Linked DNA regions of Macaca mulatta. The protein of the gene in region 2 purifies or fractionates together with the protein of the main gene of each other region. This does not show direct contact. Links are inferred from orthologs where the notes say so. Each region holds a gene or a part of one and is shown on either strand. Other genes may lie near its edges. The genes, in order: CRYAB and CASP3.

Region 1 (4,231 bases), on a different chromosome or scaffold from region 2:
ACTTTCTTGTTTTAAAAAATGCAATTCAAGAAAGGGCATCTATTTCTTGGGGGCTGCGGTGACAGCAGGCTTCTCTTCACGGGTGATGGGAATGGTGCGCTCAGGGCCAGAGACCTGTTTCCTTGGTCCATTCACAGTGAGGACCCCATCAGATGACAGGGATGAAGTAATGGTGAGAGGGTCCACATCAGCTGGGACCCGGTATTTCCTGTGGAACTCCCTGGAGATGAAACCATGTTCATCCTAACCCAAAAGAATGAGGAAAGAGGCAGAGAGATAAGAATATGAACTACTATCACCTGCCCAGAACTCAGGCATCCTGATTTCCCCTTAGGTGAGACCAAATGCCATGACAACATAGGAAAAATAAACAGTGCTTTGTTTCAGGGTTGTGGCTAAGATGAAGTTACCTAGGTAGTCACTCCTACCAGTGAGAATCTGAGAAGTCTGAAACAGTACAACACTTCATTGTTTTTCAAACCCTGAGGCATAGATATGTTTAGGAGTATTTCCCAAAGGTTTAGATAATGTTGACTGGGCCTACAGAATTTGGAATCTCATTTAGAATCTGAGTCCCTGAGGAAGCCCTGAAATTGTCCTGACTCTTCAGGAATGTCCCAGAAGGTTCCAGAACAATAGGACTGCTGCTGGGGAAAAAAAAAAAAAAAAAAAAAAAAAAAAAAGACTCCATCCAAGGAGACTATGACCCAAACCTAAATCATATGAGCAAAATTGAAACAGCCTGAGGACATTACTAAGGACAAACTGTACTGGTTGACGCACAGGTTCTGAGCTATCGCTGAGCTATCGTTAATTGGTGAGAAGGAATTTTAAAGCCCTCTTACAAAGTCATGAAAAGCTGTTCCATTCGTCAGAATTCCCCCAAAGAGTAGATGACCTTAACCCGTATGCCTGCTGACTCTCAAGCATGTAGCCAAACAGGCTCTCATTAACTGATTTCCGCATGGGCTATAGGGGATTAAAGACTGAGCACAGCTCTGAAATTTAGACAAACCAAGTAGTTCAGCATTAAGATGGGCTAAAGAAGAGACATGGATTCTTGCACAGCTAACAGAGAATTCACAACTCAAGTGCCTTTAGGGTACCTGTAGTTAATGTAATTATGCAAAGCAACTAGGTGTCTGACAGCCCTATACCTAAATCAGTGGTCCTCAACCTTGACTGTAGATTAGAATTACCTTAAAAAATGTTGATGCCCTGGGTCCCACCCCTAAAAATTCTGATTTAATTGGTCTGGAATATGCCTGAGCATTAGGTTTTTTGAAAGTTCCCCTGGTGATTCTAATGTGGCCAAGATTCAGAACCTCTGGCTAAGATGGGGCATCAACATCCCATCATCCCATCTAAGGCGATCAAATCAAACAAAGACCACATCTCTGGCCATAACAACAGTAACAACAGCAATAGGTCTATCCCTAACTTAGTCTTCTAGACATTGATTTGTAACCCCTGATCTAGACTATTATAGCTTGGGACTGGAATGTAGCCAGCCTCCAAAGCTGATAGCACTACCTGGACTATTACAGTATACACTGAATGAATGAGCAGAAAACAAAAACCAAGCTACATACCTGGCGCTCTTCATGTTTGCCATGCACCTCAATCACATCTCCCAACACCTTAACTTTGAGTTCCTCTGGGGAGAAGTGCTTCACATCCAGGTTGACAGAGAACCTGTCCTTCTCCAGGCGCATCTAGAAATAGCAAGGTAAGGGAATGGGACGGGAGAAAGATGGCGAAAGTACTCATTATACTGGTGTTGTCTTATTCTGCAGAGTTGCTTTCTGTCCAGGTAATTCATCCTTCTCTTTTCTGCTTTAAAATATCCCCTTTTTAAATAAACATGGCTCTCTGCTTCAGGGAGCCACCACAGTGATACCTAAGGCTCATGGTGATCAGACCCAAACTTTATTTACAGGGACAGAGAAGAAGACAGATCACCCAGGGGACCAGTCGCAAGGATGGGTGCAGGCCTGGCATCTGCTGCCTCTCTGGCTCCGATGCCTGGCTTTGTGGTTTGTCTGTGAGACAAAGGCCTCTTCTTCTGGCTCAGGTCTCTTTGCCAGTTTTCCACCCACCCAATCTGGAATGTTCTGCTGGTCCTGCTTGTCCTTCCAAAGCCCTTGCCCACTCATCTCCTGTTTACTCACACTCGAATATTTTTAAACCAGAGCGTTATCTGTGACAGCTTCTGTCAACCTTATATGTTCACCCTGTTCTCTCACCCTCTTAGGACGAGTGGGGGTCCCTATATTGTTTCCTCATAAGGCTTGGTTGGACCCAGGCCAATGCCCTGTCACAGCCCTGAGAAACCCAGAAAATCACAGAAGAGGGAATAAAAAGGCAGAAAATGCCCATGAGGGTGAACAGCTCAGGCAGGGTGAGGCAGGGCTCTCTCCTGGCTCTGACACCTGAGATGGTAAAATTGGTCAAGAGTCCATGGTGTTAGAAGAGATGAGCAAAGGAGTTTGAAGGCAGCTCTTTCCCTGCAGATTGTTATGAACCAAACCAGAAAGGGGTACCCTGCAGAGAAGTTAGGGGATGGAGGATGAACTTGACAGTGCATGAAAAAAATGTAATAAATGGGATACAGAGGACCATCAAGTAGAAACAGGTGACGGGGGAGGGAGGAACTAGCAACCTCCTCATTTTTCTTCACATTTGGATACACATGTGCCTAAAATGGTTTAGGCAGGAAAGGAGAGGAAAATGGATGGAGAAGTTTACAGGAGGTTCCAGTAAGGACTCTCCCATTCTAGCAGTGGGGAGACTCACCTCTGAGAGTCCAGTGTCAAACCAGCTGGGTGCCCGCAGGAAGGAGGGTGGCCGAAGGTAGAAGGGGCTCAGGGAAGTAGACGTCGGGAAAAGATCAGACTCCAACAGGTGCTCTCCGAAGAACTGGTCAAAGAGGCGGCTGGGGGAGTGGAAAGGAAAGAAGGGGCGGCGGATCCAGGGGTGGTGGATGGCGATGTCCATGGTGGCTAGGTGAGTGTGGGGGGTCAGCTGGCTGGTCAGCTCCTTCAGCTGCAGCTACAGCCAGCCCCTTATATATGCAGTCTTGTGAAGCTTCTGGAATGGTGATGTCAGGGGTTTTATTATCCTAGCTCACCGCCGGTTCATGGAGACTTGTGATCGGGGATTTGGCAGTGTGACACATACCCAGTACTCACTGAGCTAAGAAAAGAGAAACACAAACACGTCTGAGCCGGCCAGTGACTTGTCATGGTCTTGTTTCACTAGCTTTCTGTACACACCCAGTGGCACCCACCCCCACCCCAGTTCTCTGAAGCTGGTACAGAGTCAGGAATCCCAAGCAGGCACGCGGGCGGGTGGGGGGGCAGGCGGTGGAGTGTGCCCCTCCTCCTCCTCCTCTTCAGTCCTGAATGCCAGGGGAATCAGGCCAGCAACTATCTTGGGCCTGGGCAGGGACTGGAATCTTCCTAGGCTGGGCCCCAGGGACATTAACTCTTTGTGAGTCCTTGGAAGAGAGCAGTGATGGTCAACATGTCAGTACCAGCCATCTGCCTCCTGCCCTGGGTTGACCTGGGTTTAGGAGAGGACTCCGACATCTGGGCAGAAAGACCCCACTCCCTGAAAAAAAGAGCAGAAAGATTTCTTGCATCTTTCATCCTATGTGGCTCTCAGAACATTAAATCCAGGAGTGCTTTAGGAATTGGGTGCACAGTGCCGGCCTCCAAGGAGGAGAAAATGAGGTGTGGAAACGTGCAAACCGTTTGTGAGGGTCTCAGCGAGGCCTCTTCATGCCCCAGGCACCACCAGCTACCCCTTCTCAGCTCGTTCCTAACCAGGACCCTCAGCTGTCCTCTCAGGCCCCCTGCGACAGCTGAAGAGTGTGCGGGGGAGGGGACTAGGGGTCCAGGCGGCGCTGGTCACACCCTCGTTGCTCTCACTCAGGGCCCCCACTCCCCGCCCCTCCCCCCCAGAGGCTCGGCACTATTTTGGGTGGTGTCGACCCCGCCCCCACCTCCTATCGAGCCCTGGCTCTCCGGGCAGCTGGAGGGGTCGCGCTGCGCCTGTTGGGGCTGCACCTCGGACCAGGGCTCCCGCTGCATCTGCAGCCATGTCGGGCCGCTCAGTGCCACATGCCCACCCAGCCACCGCTGAGTACGAATTTGCCAACCCGAGCCGCCTGGGTGAGCAGCGCTTCGGAGAAGGTATGGCACAGATGCCACCCCCTTGCCTCCCACCC
Region 2 (4,449 bases):
ATAAGTTCCATTGTACTATACAAACAAACCATCCTTTCCTTTTCTCTGGCATGGGCCATGTGACCAGGAAGACAGTATAGAGCACTCCCCACTATTCAAAGCCTCCGAGTTTACGACACAAGTCAGAAAGAATGGCACTTACCATGTGCAAAAGGTCTGTCCTCCCTGTGCCAAGTGAAGTCCTAGGATAGTGTTTTTGGAGGGACAAAAGGAGAAAACGGGAAAGCCTTCACAGATCTAAATGATTTATATAAGTGTAAAATGGAGGATCTTGAATGCTTTTTTATAAAAATTACAGATAACATTAAAGGCTCACCACTCCCACCAAGAATGACTACTTTGCAGAATCAGATTCAGGTTTAAAACCGCTTGAAGAAACCCTACTGTCTGGAAGACTGAAACTGCCAAAAGTCAGATTCAGTAGCATCTATTCATTTGATATTTGCACCATAACAATTTACTGAACACCAACTGTGTGCAGAGTACTATACTAGACCCTGAGTGTATCAAGCAGTGGACGAGACAAACCCTATCTCTATGCAGGGCTTATACCGATGTTCACTGGCATTCAAAAGTGGCTCAACAAAGCAGATGCCAGACGGTGTCCAATACATATCAGGTAGCTTGATTGCATTATTGTAATGCAAAGAAGCCCTACAGGCAACATGTGAAGGTAAGAACAAAACATGCAGAGAAAGAACATTATATAAATCTAAGAATTCTCACATCTTTTTTTAGGCCCAAATACCAGTGCTTCCTATCTTTGGGGCAGAGCTTAAACATCTAATAGTAGGCACCAGAAGCAATGTAATATATCATTCATGAAAATAAAGACTGCTTTGTAGGGGGATGAAGCAGTAGGAGATTGTGTTAAATGAGGTCTGAAAGCAAAACAGTGAAGAAGCATTATAACTGCCTATATCAGATGCCAGTCTCTTCAAAAGGCAAGAGTCAAGGCCTTTATTCAGGATAGCAAAAGCAAACCTGATTTAACTAGGTACAATGTCTAATGTCTCTTACTCTGAACAGGTTTTATTGCCATACTCCAATAAACTGTTCGTGCATTCACTAAAATATATTTTCACTTTCAAAAACCTTCTTTTACAAAAAGGCAAAGCAAAACCAAAGCCCAAGCATCGGGCTGTGATAGAGATGATTTAAGCTTTACATTTCACTTTTAGAGATGATGTAACCACAGCACGCACACTCACAGTGGCTGAGCCCATTTTGATACAGTCTAGTCTAACCACCTTTCCTGGCCCTCTTTCTGCTATCTTGCAGGTTTACATGGTTTCAGTGACTCCATGTCACCTCTACCATTTCTTTTCTAACTATTATTTGCTAAATAATCCTAAACCAGGTCTACTTTTTCTAGATAGGGCATAAAAGTAAAAACACAACGGATGGGCATTCACTGCGTTGTGCCAGGGCCCGCATTTGGTGAAAGACTCTAAGGACACCAAGATAAACCAAGTCCATCCCTCCTGGAGTTTGCTTGCAAATCTAGCAGGGAAGACAGTAAACAAGCAACTGCAGAGGATATGACACATCTCTCTTAGGGAACGCTGGCTGCAGAAAGAACACAGTAGAGGAAGATTGAACCTTGAACTGTTTTAATGAAAACAGAAGTTTAAGTAGCAGCTCTTACTTCTAATCAAATGTGATGGCGGGAGAAGGGGAATGCAGAGGTGTGGCAGACACTAGCTATGAAGGTCAGCATTGCTGTGCAGAAAGTGAATCGGTGCTAAAGATAGGGAGGGGTGGGGGCACTCAGGACCCAACACGTACTGGGGTTTGTCAGCCGTATTAAGTGCTGGGTTTAACCTAAGGGCAAAGGACGCGCTTTCTAGACTTTCATTTCATAAAGATCCCTCTGTGCTGTGAAAAGTGGACTACAAAGGAGCAGGCGGGTCTGGAGGTGGAGAGACCAGGGAAGAGGCTGCTGTGGAGATGGAGAGACGTGGACAGACCTGGCAGACGTTTACAAGGTCGACAAGGCTTGGTGACTAAGCGGGAAAAGAAGTAGGTGGGCGAGAGGGGGGCGAGAAGGATGTTTTCCGGTTTCCTGCTTGGGTGCCACTTACTGAGAATGGGGGAAAGACGCAGGTGCAGAGCACACCCACTGAAAACAACAGCGCCGAGCGCGAGCAGGGCTCGCTCACTCCTCACGGCCTGGGATTTCAAGGCGACGCCAATCAGCTGTGGCCACGGAGACACAGCCACAGGGATGAGCTGTGAGCACTCACGAAACTCTGCAGGGCCGAAAAGGAATTGGATTTTAAACCCTGCAACTAGCTCTCTGGAAGAGCTAAACCACACAGTCAACCCGGGATAGTCCAGGCCCCAGGCATGGAAGGCAGCAGAGACGGAAGCCTCGCCCAAAATTGGAAGGATCAGCCCCGAGGGCGAGTCCCTCACAGTCAGCACCCGGCCGCCCCAGCCCTCGCCGCACCGCTTCCCGGGGCCACTCCTCCGCCGGCGGTAGCACCGTCTGCTTTCCAGCTTGCCGCTGCCTCCCGCTGCCTGGCCCGGCCTCCTGGCCCCAGGCCCGGCCGCCAGGTCTCTGGCCCTCGGAGTTCGGTGCCCCGTGCCCGACCTCCCGGCCCCGGCCTCGGTTCCCCCGGGCCGGCCTCCCGCTGCCTGGCCTCCCCGGCCCCAGGCAAGCCTCCCGCCCCCGGGTCAGGTCTCCCTTCCGATGACCTGAGGCCTTTCCTTAGGTTACTCCCAGGTCCCTCTCCCTAAATCAAAAGCCTTAACCCGCTGCCTGGCTGCCCCGGCCCCGGCCCCGGGCTTCACTGCTCGCTGCCGCCCCGGGTGAGGTGGCAAAACAAAGGCTCCGCCGCCCAGGTCCCCGGGCGGGCGCTGGGCCTGGGAGGACGCAGGGAGCGGGGACAGGGCTGACCGCCCGGAGCGAGCGCGGCACTCACCGCACAGCCTTCTCACACCTTCCACAACCGCCTCACAGCAGCAGCCACCCGTTACGATCCGCGTCTGCACCGCTTCAGCAGCCCGCCGCCTGGGGACGTGCTCCAGCGCTAGCCCCGCCCCCGGCCCGCCCCTGTCGGCCCCGCGCGCCCCCTCCCTGGGGCCCGTCCCCCAGCTCCCGCCCGCCCGAGAACCCAGGGCCGGGCTGGGCCCCAGGAGCCGCCAGCCCGCGCCCGCGCCCGCGCCCGCGCCCGCGCCCGCGCCCGCGCCCGCGCCCGCGCCCGCGCCCGCGCCCGCGCCCGCGCCCGCGCCCGCGCCCGCGCCCGCGCCCGCGCCCGCGCCCGAGGCCCCGCCCCCCGAGGCCCGCCAGGCCCCGCCCCCCGAGGCCCGCCAGGCCCCGCCCCCCGAGGCCCGCCCCCGAGGCCCGCCCCCGAGGCCCGGCCCCGCTCCCCCGCCCCGGATTTGAAAGCTGGGTCTTCCTGAGAGTCCGCGGGCTTCCGCTCCCAGCGCGGGATTCTGGAGGTAATTTGAGGAAGACTTGGAAACCGCGCCAGGCCCAACGGGGACCTAGAAGGGAGACAAGGCCAGGCCTGCTGCCCAGTGTGAGCTCTGAGAAGAAGAGGAGCGGGCCGGGACGCCCTCCGGTAATTTCCGTCCCCCCTCCGGTGACCTGAGGCCTTTCTTGGGGTTACCCCCAGGTCCCTCTCCCTAAATCAAAAGCCTTAGCCTCCTGTCGCCAGGGTGCCGGGCTAGTAATAAGCAGGTCCACGCATGCTGGACACACGGGCTCAAGCCACTCCGCGCATCAGTCAGTACTACAAACCGTACGCAGTAGTGTACTTAATCCATATATAAACGTTACATGTTAAGCATCCCACAGCAAACAAAGTAGCATTTAACATCCCGAGGAAAAAAAGAGAGAGGACAAAGAGATGAACAACCAATCCAGAGGGAGTGAAGAAGAGAAGAAGAAGCCTGGTTTGGGCCCGAGAGGTCCTTCTGCAGAGACAGCGTCAATTAAGACTGTTTGGAGCTGCCGAAGGCAGAGTCCGGGTGAGAACTGACAGTGGAAGAGGGCGCTTGTTTGTGTCCTTACCTGAGTGGATGCGGACTAGTTTTTTACTTGTTTATTAAAGTATAGTATCCTTGTTGGCAAATGCCCTATGAAATATAAAATGGAGTCTTTTCCTAAGATGGAGTTATTAATAGTTACGTGAAGGGTGTGCTATACACTGCCGTACTGATCCCCTTCCTATTTTGGGTCATGAACTCATTTTAGACCCTGAAGCAAACTGTGAATCGTTTTCGCAGAAGAATTCTCCACCACGTGAGCACGACATTCTGCATCAGATTTCAAAAGGTTCTTGACATTCAGAAGTCAGATCAGGGACCCCATGGCAGAGCCTATTTCTAACGCTTGCGCCTATTCGACTATAGGGACTATATTCTGCACAGAAATATACTTAGTTTTATGTATCGTTACAACTTGCTGAGAGTTTATTGCATGCTTTTACATTTTCATAA

The links.
Region 1: the proteins of CASP3 (region 2) and CRYAB purify together in Homo sapiens (affinity purification with western blotting; 3 studies listed by BioGRID). This does not show direct contact. The link is inferred for Macaca mulatta from reciprocal best matches to the Homo sapiens genes CASP3 and CRYAB.

What each region holds. Positions count from the first base shown.
Region 1 is NC_133419.1:112,657,307-112,661,537, forward strand, and holds the start of CRYAB (alpha-crystallin B chain), read right to left. Parts: upstream 3,031-4,231; 5' UTR 2,998-3,030; coding exon 2,797-2,997; intron 2,007-2,796; exon of another isoform or gene 1,938-2,006; intron 1,716-1,937; coding exon 1,593-1,715; intron 244-1,592; coding exon 40-243; 3' UTR 1-39. Other genes in the region: HSPB2 (heat shock protein beta-2), read left to right, coding at 4,103-4,196. UniProt on the Homo sapiens protein: May contribute to the transparency and refractive index of the lens. Has chaperone-like activity, preventing aggregation of various proteins under a wide range of stress conditions.
Region 2 is NC_133410.1:193,076,623-193,081,071, forward strand, and holds the start of CASP3 (caspase-3), read right to left. Parts: upstream 2,996-4,449; 5' UTR 2,928-2,995; intron 2,253-2,927; 5' UTR 2,085-2,252; intron 2,023-2,084; exon of another isoform or gene 1,989-2,022; coding exon of another isoform or gene 1,951-1,988; exon of another isoform or gene 1,863-1,950; intron 1-1,862. Other genes in the region: PRIMPOL (DNA-directed primase/polymerase protein), read left to right, coding at 1,951-1,988. UniProt on the Homo sapiens protein: Thiol protease that acts as a major effector caspase involved in the execution phase of apoptosis. Following cleavage and activation by initiator caspases (CASP8, CASP9 and/or CASP10), mediates execution of apoptosis by catalyzing cleavage of many proteins.